2 linked regions of the Drosophila melanogaster genome follow. The protein of the gene in region 1 purifies or fractionates together with the protein of each later gene. This does not show direct contact. Each region holds a gene or a part of one and is shown on either strand. Other genes may lie near its edges. The genes, in order: Gfrl and mav.

Region 1 (4,865 bases):
GCAGTGTAACAGGTAAAACAAATTGCTCCGAACCGAGCATAAATTAGCAATGGCAATGTAATTACACTTTCATTAGATTAAAATATCATAAGTGCCATAAAAATTAAGTTATGCCGAGGGGCGAGCACAATGGAAATGAAATAATCAGCTTACCTCGGCTGCGGGAAAACATAAAAGTCCGGCCGCACAAAAGAGCCTCGCCGTCGAGGAGCCACCGCGTTGCCAGGACACCGGCCAGGACTCATTGTTTTGGCAAGGAATCGCTTTGATTTCACGCGATAATTACAACGTGCTCCGCGAAGAATTATTCCGACTTGGGTTCGTGCAGCTATTCAGGTGGCAAACTTCGGGATCCTCAATCCCTGAGTCCGCCCACCAATTCTGGTGGAATCGGAGCGTTTCCTTGAGTCCTTTCGACGGCCAGTATTTATAGCCCCGGCGACATTTTGACATGCCGGGAGTGCCGACGCCCAGAGCCAATTTCTTGACCCCTGGCCAATTTTGACCCATTCTTTTAGGTCTTGCAAAGAGGAATTAATATTTTTGGAAACACTTATTACTCTCTGATTTATGGAAACTATGGTTTTATTTAACTAAACGTTAGTAAGGAGGTGTATTTCTCACATCTATATCTTGACTAGCTACAAACATTTATAGAAAAGATCATTTTAATTTTAAATTTGTATTAAATAAAAGATTCAATATTGCAAGACTTTTAGCATAAGTACGCAAAATTCCTTAATTTAAATAAAATATTTTAAAATTATCCCACCCAGCTTATTTCCATATATTTTGATACAAAACTCGATTGCATATCACGACATATAAATAATAAGCTGTGAAAGTATTTTCGGGAACTTTTGGGTTCATTTTTGTTGCGAATATTTTTTGTCGATGCCCTTTCATTTTTTAGTTCTAGCCAGCAAAATGGGCTGGCGGGTGTGGGTGAAGTGTCGAAGGGTTATCCTTTTTTGTGTGTGTTTCTTTTGCCAATTACCGCACGCTTCGTGAGGCATGGTCGCCGCTTCGGGCACTCGCTGCGTATACGTAATTTTTATTGGACACTCTCACGCGTCGTCATCCATCGTCTGCCGTCGTTTCCACCATCCATCCATTCGTTTTTGTGTCACGTCGTGAGCTTTTGGCTCGTACGCAGAGTCCTAGGCCAACACGAGAATTTTAATAAGAAATCTGATAAGTAAGCTCTAAATGCGTACGTTATTAAACAGAAGTCATTTGTATCTAATATCCATTAGGGTGACGTTTGTATAGCTTGATATCAAAACATAAAGCTTTAATAATATAAATTTAGAAATGTTCTCACTTACATACATAATTGAAGTCTATTATGGACTTGACATTTGAATAACGCTAACAATACGTTTTTGTATATTAAAATACCAAAAGTACTTATAATTTTGCAAAACTACAGTAAACTTTTTAAAGGAAATGTTTAAAATGGAATAGAACTTGCGAAGCGAGTGACTTTCGATACAAGACCTTGTTTCCTACAGTTTGAGAGTCATACTCTGCTTATTCCACGAAAAAAACGAGAATGGAGAGGGAACTTACTCGCCGAATGTGCAACCAAAACAAAACGGATAATTGTTAGTGTCCTTTCTCTCTTTTACTCTCAGCTGGAAATCTCTGACTTTACAGCTGTTATTTGGACTGTTAATTTACATTTGCCGATGGCCCAGAGAACTCGGAGCCGAGTCCTTAGAGCTTCGTGCGGTGAAAGGACCCGACTTCGTACGGGCCAAACAGTTTTCGACTGAGACTCGTGACGAACGGACGCGCGGCCAATGGCAAGCGGGCAGTGCGATTCAATTCGATGCGAATTCGACTCTAGCGGAAGCGGAAATACGAATGCCAGCGAATTGCCAATGGCACGGCTGATATGTGTGCGTGCCGCGAGCGAGGATCGTCGAGTCGAGTGAATGGAATATCCAGAAACGTCGATCGCAATCTTCGAGTCAACACGGAGCTAAGCTGTAAATCATAAAGTGTCAGTCAGAAAAACCAACAAAAATCAGTCGAGTGTGCTTTCTTCGCCCGAGATTTGTGCCACTGCATACTATAGCCCATAGTATATAATTTAATTTGCCAAATGTGTTGGAAAATTGTATGGCCCGGCGAAGGGGAAAGTGGCAAGCAAAGGAAAACTCCGAGCAGCAGCTGGCAGTGCCGCACGGCTTACTGCTTACTGCTTATGCTGGTAATGGGTTAATGCGGTTGAGCACTCGCATGCCTTCACGCTTATCCCCCCACCACCCATTGCCCCTCTTCCATCTCACATCGCTCCGAAAAAGCAAATATTTCATGTTATTTACCTAGGTGCGCCACTTTCGTTAATTGTATGCAAAAAAGTTGCCAACCTTATCCCCTCCCACCACACTATGGCACACTCTCCGTGTGTGAGTGAAGTGAAGTTTTTGGCTCAGGTTTATTCGCTACAACAACTTTCGGGTGGCTGGTTCAATTACAAACCCCTGGCCCACGGCCCACAGCCCACAGCCCACGGCCCATCGCATATCGCCTGCCGCACTATTTCCGCTCTAAAATTTGAGCCAACTTGCCGTTGCCAGCTGGGCTCCTCTTGGTTTAGTACTGTTTCAGCAAAGCAAAACCTGTTCCTGCGACGTTGCTGCGCCTCACTTAGTAAATAAATTGGCAATCGCATTTAATGTGAGTTTATGTGCGTCGATACCTTGGGTCGACTGCTCGGCTCGGCTCCTCTACTCTGCCATTTGGTAGTTATTTCTTTTTTTTCGGTTTCTTGGCTCGTGCTCATGTGCAAATCGTAAATTCACGTTAATGCCGAAATTTCACGTGATAATGACGTGATTACCTGGCGCACACACACACACAGGCCCACAATGTGGCGATCCATGCACATGTCTCCATGTCCCCATGTCCTCATGTCTCACCATGTCGCCTGCCTATCCTTGTCTGCCAGGACTAGGGGCATAAATACGTAACATCCAACTGGGAACTTGGTACTGGTAACTGGTAACTGCTAACTGGGAACTGGTAACTAGGAACTCACTCCGATGGCAGCTCAACTGAAAAATGAGTGCCCCTAAAATAGTTGCAATGCATTCAACTGAATCGGAGTGCGGTGGTAGTCCTGGCCGGGAATTTCTGGTTAGGCCCAAGCGTAAAATTGTTGGCGTAGTTCCCAAGTGCTGTTCAATGAGTTGGAGTTGAAATTGCTGCAATTGTTCAGTGCCACCGCTCCATTCGTCGTAATCCATTCCCAATTTAAATGGCAAAGGGGTTCTGTTCTGATTTTTTTTAAAGCGTTGCCTAACTGTCTCAAAGTTTCTTTGCAATCGCGTAATTTGGCCGTATTCTTTGCGTTTTATTTGCAACTTTTTAATTACTTTTGAGTAGCGATTTGAACTTTGCGCCTGTCGCCCGTTTACACTCTAATTAAGCGGCCCATTCAAGGGCTCTGTATTTTGTATTTATATCCTTTTGCTCCTGCTCCTGTTTCTTATCGCGCCAAGTAAAAGAAGTTCTCGGCTTTTAAATGCAGCTGTCGCAAGTTGGTGGCGCTTTAAACGTTCGCTGGCATTTCCGTTTCCGTTAAATCGCTCCTAAGCCAGTTTGTTAGTTTTACCTTGACATTTTATGCAGTTTTTCTCGGTGTTATATGTATGTATTTTTTCTAGCTACCTTTTGTGTGCCTTTGTTTTGCTTGTTACCTGCGCGCAATTTTTTCTAGGTACACAGAAAAAATAATCTTAAAGAGATTACGAGATTATGATACCACCTAACTTACATTTGGATGTATAAATAAATTTTCTCATAACTTAGGTCTAGCCAGTTTTCACTTTAGTGGAGTGTTAATAAATTTGTTAAGTTAAATAAATTAACTTACAAAAAAAAAAAAAAAGTTCAAAGAATATCGGTTTCTGACTTCATTCTTTGTGGTCAATCTGGGACATGCCATTATTTAGATACTTTTTGTTTCAGCTACATAAATTGTATTTATTTTGTGAACAACAAAAGAAGTACGCGAAGGTACGCAACTCCAAAGTGAATTATTTCGCCGTGTGTAGTGGCGATGGCAGCAGCTGCTTGTGGAACAACTTTAACATTATTTGCTTTGCTGCAACACTCCCCCGCACCCTGCTCAGCGATCCGTGGCCTTTGTTCGTCTCCGGACTCCTTTCACTTTGAGTTCCCCGCTGTCCGCACCCGAATCATGAATCATTTCTGCCGCTGCACCCACCAACTCCCATCAGCTCCTGCCGTCCTTTTGGCCACATCTAAGTGTTGTTTAATGCAGCTTTTCAACTCATTCGCTTTGACATACACGTGTGTGCCGTGTATGGTTCTGGGTTCCGGCTTCCACTTTCAACTTTCTACTTTTTATTTGCCAACCTTCCAACCTTGGTGCCTTTGCATGTAGCATCAGATTTGCTTATGCAAATGCGTCGCCGAGAAGGGGATTTGCCATTTGCACCGCTCGTCCTCGATCGAAATGTTTACGGTTTCTATTCGAAGAGGGCTGATGTCATAGCTTGTCGATGGCCAGTTTAAATAATTGCCACCGCAATAAATTATTAAATCAACAACAATTACTCACTGGCCGGCCAAAGGGAATCAATCAATGCTTGTGGGGGAGTCGAAAATCGAGTGAAATTAAGTGATGTGGAGTGGAGTGGATTCATAAGCTGACAAAATGCCAGCTCACTCCATGCACCGTAGGTGTATTATAACGAGTTTCATGACAGCAATTATGCGAGGTCGGCACCGCACTCCTCCGCACACACACAAACACACACTCCCGCACATATGAATACTTATTATTACGCATACGCAGTGGTGCCGGAGCAGGCTAATGTGTGGTTTGG
Region 2 (5,433 bases), on another chromosome or scaffold:
TCGTATTCTGATGCACTTAATAAAGAATAATAATTATTATTTGTCTTAACTTAATAAGTGCTTAATTTATATACTTTATATGTATGGTCGGAAAAGCTTCCTTTTGCTTTACGAGCAAAGGTCATAGCGATGTGGAAAATTAGATTAAGATTGACGAAGTGGTCATCATTTTGCTCTACAAAATATCGCACTTACGTTAATCACATTGAGACAAGTTTTTTACAATCACTTTGTAAACCTCCCAATTCAAAACGCATCCGTTTGCATCCCGGAAAGGCTTCAGGGTGTTTTCCGAAATTAATATTTCTAGGATATTTACATATATTTATTACAAAGCTTTCGTGAACTTCACTCAGTAATGTTTCTTAAATACGTTTAGAAATCGACCACACGGATGCTTTTGAATGTCTTATATCTAAACAGCAGGAAAAGTTCCCAAAGAATATAAAAAATAAATACATTAAGTAATTCAGTTTTTATTTTATTGAATATTTTTTATATACATATTTATGAATAATGTACATATATATGTAATGTACCTGAAAAACATTTCTCAGACACCAGAAAACCAAAGACCCTAGAATAAGAATTCTAGTGTCTTTGAGAAAACTCTGACGATTCAAAATGTAAAATGCAAGTTAAGAGAAACAAAAATACAGAGAGGAAAAAGTGCTAGGCGCTTCTTTGTTCTTTTACTATGTCTTTTGTCATTTATTATTCCTAAGTACCGTTTGATCAGCAATTTGCCTGCCTTGCTTACTATGGAGTTCAAAAATATAGGGTCAGGAAACATAAGCACAGACTAGAATCTTATCCGAATAGTCTAGCTAGACGACTAAGTATCGCAGCCCAAAGCCATCGGAGAATAACGAGAAGAAGATTGAAACGCCACCACCCTCAAGACCTGACTAACCGAGACTTCACATAAAACTTACTTAATTATAATCTTCTAAATATTATAGCCTCACATTCCACTTCTTGAATACTCATAATCATATAATCTTTGTAAATAACTTAGATATTCAGATTCGTTTAAATTGATACCGATTAGATTAAGTTGTCTAAGAAGTACGCTGGTCAATTAAATAATTTCGTTTAACAAATTTAATAAAAAAAGGAAACATAAATGTACACACTTTTCGAGAAAATATTTTATGTATAAGAAATCCCTATTCAATAATTTAAGGTATTTTAGAAAATATATCAATATTCAATATTTAAATACGAGTAAAAAAATCAAAATATAATTTAAAAAAGATAATAGTATTCTGCTACAACTATGCTTAGGGAAAACATAGTTTTTGGTTGTACCTGAACATGCGCGATTGGAAATATGAGCCATATGCCACCTTAGGGTTTTTAAACCAGTTACTCGAAAACCATATAACAGACAGAAGGAAACGTTTTCGAGCAAATCAGGATCAATAGCCTAGTCGAACTGTCTGTGTCCGTCTGTCCGTATGAAGGCCTCGATCTCAGGAACTATAAAAAATAGAATGTTGCGATTAAGAATGCAACTTCTAGAGACAGAAGCAGAGCAAGTTTGCCACGCCCTAAAACCGCCCAAAACTGCCACGCCCACACTTGTGCATTTTTTTTATACTTTTAGTTTTGTAAATTTCTATTGATTTGTCACTTGTCTTGCCAATCTCTATAGGTACACCAAAAACACTTTGCCATGCCCCACACTTTCGAACAATTCGAAACAATTTTTTCTCCGAATCCGATCTGGTTATGGGAAAGGGAGCAAAGCCTATCCTGGGAATGCACGGCGGGCGGAGTATAATCAAGCAAGATGTAAGGGATGTTGCATGTGAATACGCCTGTACACAGGTACACACAACGCAACACCCAGAAAATCTTGTGTTTGTAAGACGTGCATGAGTCCACTGCAGATGTGTGGGTGTGTGTGGGGGTATGAGACTAATGTTCATATTGCTGCTGTTAAGTAAGCATTTGCTGTGGGTATTTTAGTCGAATTTGAAGCAATGTCCGAACAGGTTCCGTATCGATGTGTACAAGAATGTTAATGAGAGTGCGACCGAGACGAAAATATATACACATTTTCGAGGAACTGTGATCATTTATTTACTTTACCGAAAGAAATTTTTTGTTTCTTTAAATTAAGTGCCGTAAACGAAATCCCGAAAATAAGATCAATGCAATCAACAAACTCGTGCAGATTTAACCTAATAAGTAATGGTGTGGATGTGAACATTTTTACAGAGATTCTGAGCCTACATACATATGTAGATACTTGCCAACGTTCATTAGTATGTATATACATATGTAGGCATGCGAATGTGTAATTTTGAAGAAGAGTACATACTGGAAGATTGATCGACTGGAAGAACGATAATCATTTTTATAATTGACATTAGCAAAGGAACCCTAATGGCCATGCGGAGAAAACATGATAATAGACATTAATCCAAACTTAACGCCAAAAAAGGAAACAGCTGTGTGGTGCGACTCTTTTCAACATAAATGTAAAGTTAGTAACCGTACAATAAAAATATTTCCATCGCTTTTGAACAAGTCCAACTGGATCGTTAGTATTTTGTGGCATATTTGTGTTCACCATACCATAACTATAAGAAACTCTAAAGCACGAGAACCTCCTTGCAAACATCCGCCTATTACTGATAATGCTGAGGCTAAGCTCACCCTAGTTTGTAGTAGGTCACTAAAGCTTTACAAAATATGGTTTATATTGATTTTATTGATGTCAACTCAGCATCAAGTCAGTGGCCATGGCATATTCCGCCAAACGTCAAGTTCAAAAGCAGTATTTTCATACTATCAGCCTAAAGAAAATATTACATTTACCAATTTGCAGCTTCAAAATTTAGAAAATGAAGCTAAGAGACTAGAAACAAATCAACATCCAATAATCCGAGCCAAATCAACTCCGAAAATGGGTCTTAAAAATGTATTTGAAAGCTTTAGCAAACAAAGCAGAGACTCAATCTACAATGCCAGTTCAAATAAATATAGTCTGATTAATGTAAGCCAGTCAAAAAACTTTCCTCAATTATTCAATAAAAAATTGTCAGTTCAGTGGATAAACACCGTACCAATTCAAAGTAGGCAAACGAGGGAAACTAGGGATATCGGCCTAGAAACTAAGAGGCATAGTAAGCCATCAAAAAGAGTAGATGAAACCAGACTAAAGCACCTCGTTTTGAAGGGCCTTGGAATTAAAAAACTACCAGATATGAGAAAGGTAAGATTTAAATTACAGCTATTGTCACGTCCTGTAAAAGAAAGCTGTGCAGTGTTATGCCAAACCGTATACAGAAGGGTCCACCTAAAGGATATTATTTATTTACAGGTCAATATAAGCCAAGCTGAATATTCCAGCAAATATATAGAATACTTAAGTCGCCTAAGAAGTAACCAGGAGAAGGGCAACAGCTATTTTAACAACTTCATGGGAGCTTCCTTTACAAGAGACCTACATTTTCTAAGCATTACCACAAACGGATTCAATGATATAAGCAACAAACGATTGCGCCATAGAAGGTCGCTTAAAAAAATTAACAGATTAAACCAAAACCCAAAAAAGCATCAAAATTATGGAGACCTACTACGTGGCGAACAGGATACAATGAATATTCTTTTACACTTTCCATTGACAAATGCACAAGATGCAAATTTTCACCATGATAAAATCGACGAGGCCAATGTTAGGCTTATGCTTCTCTATAGTTCATCGTTGGCAACAAATTTCCGACGAGGGCCAGGATCTAGGAAAAATAAGATCAGTCAAATTTCCGGGAATGATAACATCGAAAGGCACTGTAATTTTGGTGATGTCAATTTGAACCAATCTAACAAAAATAGTAGCCAGCAATTAACTTTAAAAGTATATCAACTTCTTTCAGCGAATAGACGAAGAAAGATAACGTCTCGTAAAATTGAATTTGGAAATGTTGGCTTCCAAGAAACTCGAACACAGTGGATAGAATTTGACGTGACCAAAGCTGTTCGTAGTTGGTTGAACAAAAGCCATGAAAACTTGGGGATAGAAATTCAATGTGATAAATGTAAAAGTATAGGGGCTCGTATATTGAGTGATTTCAGCCCGTCAACACCACCACGCTCGACCGCCTCAAGCGACGAACACTTAAACCTCATGCCAGTTCTTAATATAATTGGACACGGAACGCTGAATTCCCAACAGCACGGCGACGCGGATATTCACCAAATCATGCTGACCAATAATAGAAGCGATCAATACGTGCATCACCGTTCAAACCATGATAGCACCTGGAGAAAAGATAAGTGGACCAACAACTGTTACAAATTGCACCAACGATGTTGTAGAAATCAATTGGATGTTGCCTTTAAGAGCATTAAGGGATTCGAATTCATTTTACAGCCGAAGGTATTCGATGCAGGGTACTGCCACGGAAGATGTCCACCACGTCACAATCCCGCCCACCACCACGCCCTACTGCAAAGTCTGATATGGCAAGAAGATCACAAAAGAGCCCCCCGTCCATGCTGTACTCCTTCAAAGCTTGAGATGCTTGAAATATTGCATGTTGACGAAAACCACAGCGACAAACTCAAAATTTCGACATGGAGTGATATGCAGGTTGTAGAATGTGCCTGTTCGTAAAAAAAACTTTCTCTAACGAATTATTCTTACATACATATTCTATTATTCGTTTTTAAGTTTTGTTTCTCATTTGGTTCAAATTTTGTGAATTTTTAAACATGTAACAATGCTGAATAAATAGAAATATTTTTTGTTCGTATAGCGGCATTTACAAATTGTGTGTTTTATTACCGCTATTGCACTAATGACTTTTGGCGAATTCCTTGAGGGAAGATAAAGACGTTTAGATGTAGAAGGCAGTCAGTCCTATGCAAAAACCAGTGATGCGCAGGAATCACTAAAAGCTGCATGATTGCAGTCCTGATAATATGAGAAAGAGGTCTCGAAAAGCGTGGTTAGAATGATTTGGTTTTTGCTAATCGTAAAAACAAAATGACTACTTTAACAAATCGAAAAGAAATCTCAGTACATCAGGCGCACATTGATTTTCCTGTCGAAGTTTGGGGAGCGCATAGGAAAAGTACTAGTTTTTTTCACGTGAATATAAAAAAATGTGGCTAGGTACATTGCATCAAACGGCTTTTTATAGTGTTCAACAAAAATCCAATAGTTTGTATTTTTTGAAAATATAAGGAAATTGATTATATACAATCCAAAGACGAAAGAAAAAATTGTCTGCACTGATGCACTTGTTTGTTTGATTATTAATTATTAAGAATATGTATATAAATGTTCTAACATAGATATGAACGTTATTTATTTAAATTGATTGAATTAACAATTTGATGTAAAATTAAAATACAAAAACAAAATAAAAAAAACTACATCTAAATATATTTTTGAAAATAAACTTACATTATTTTTAA

Evidence for each region.
Region 2: the proteins of Gfrl (region 1) and mav purify together in Drosophila melanogaster (affinity purification with western blotting, with the first as the bait; one study listed by BioGRID). This does not show direct contact.

What each region holds. Positions count from the first base shown.
Region 1 is NT_033777.3:20,446,588-20,451,452, reverse strand, and holds the start of Gfrl (glial cell line-derived neurotrophic family receptor-like), read left to right. Parts: upstream 1-1,765; 5' UTR 1,766-1,994; exon of another isoform or gene 1,995-2,008; intron 2,009-4,865.
Region 2 is NC_004353.4:622,565-627,997, reverse strand, and holds mav (maverick), read left to right. Parts: upstream 1-1,966; 5' UTR 1,967-2,413; coding exon 2,414-3,226; intron 3,227-3,334; coding exon 3,335-4,627; 3' UTR 4,628-4,779; downstream 4,780-5,433.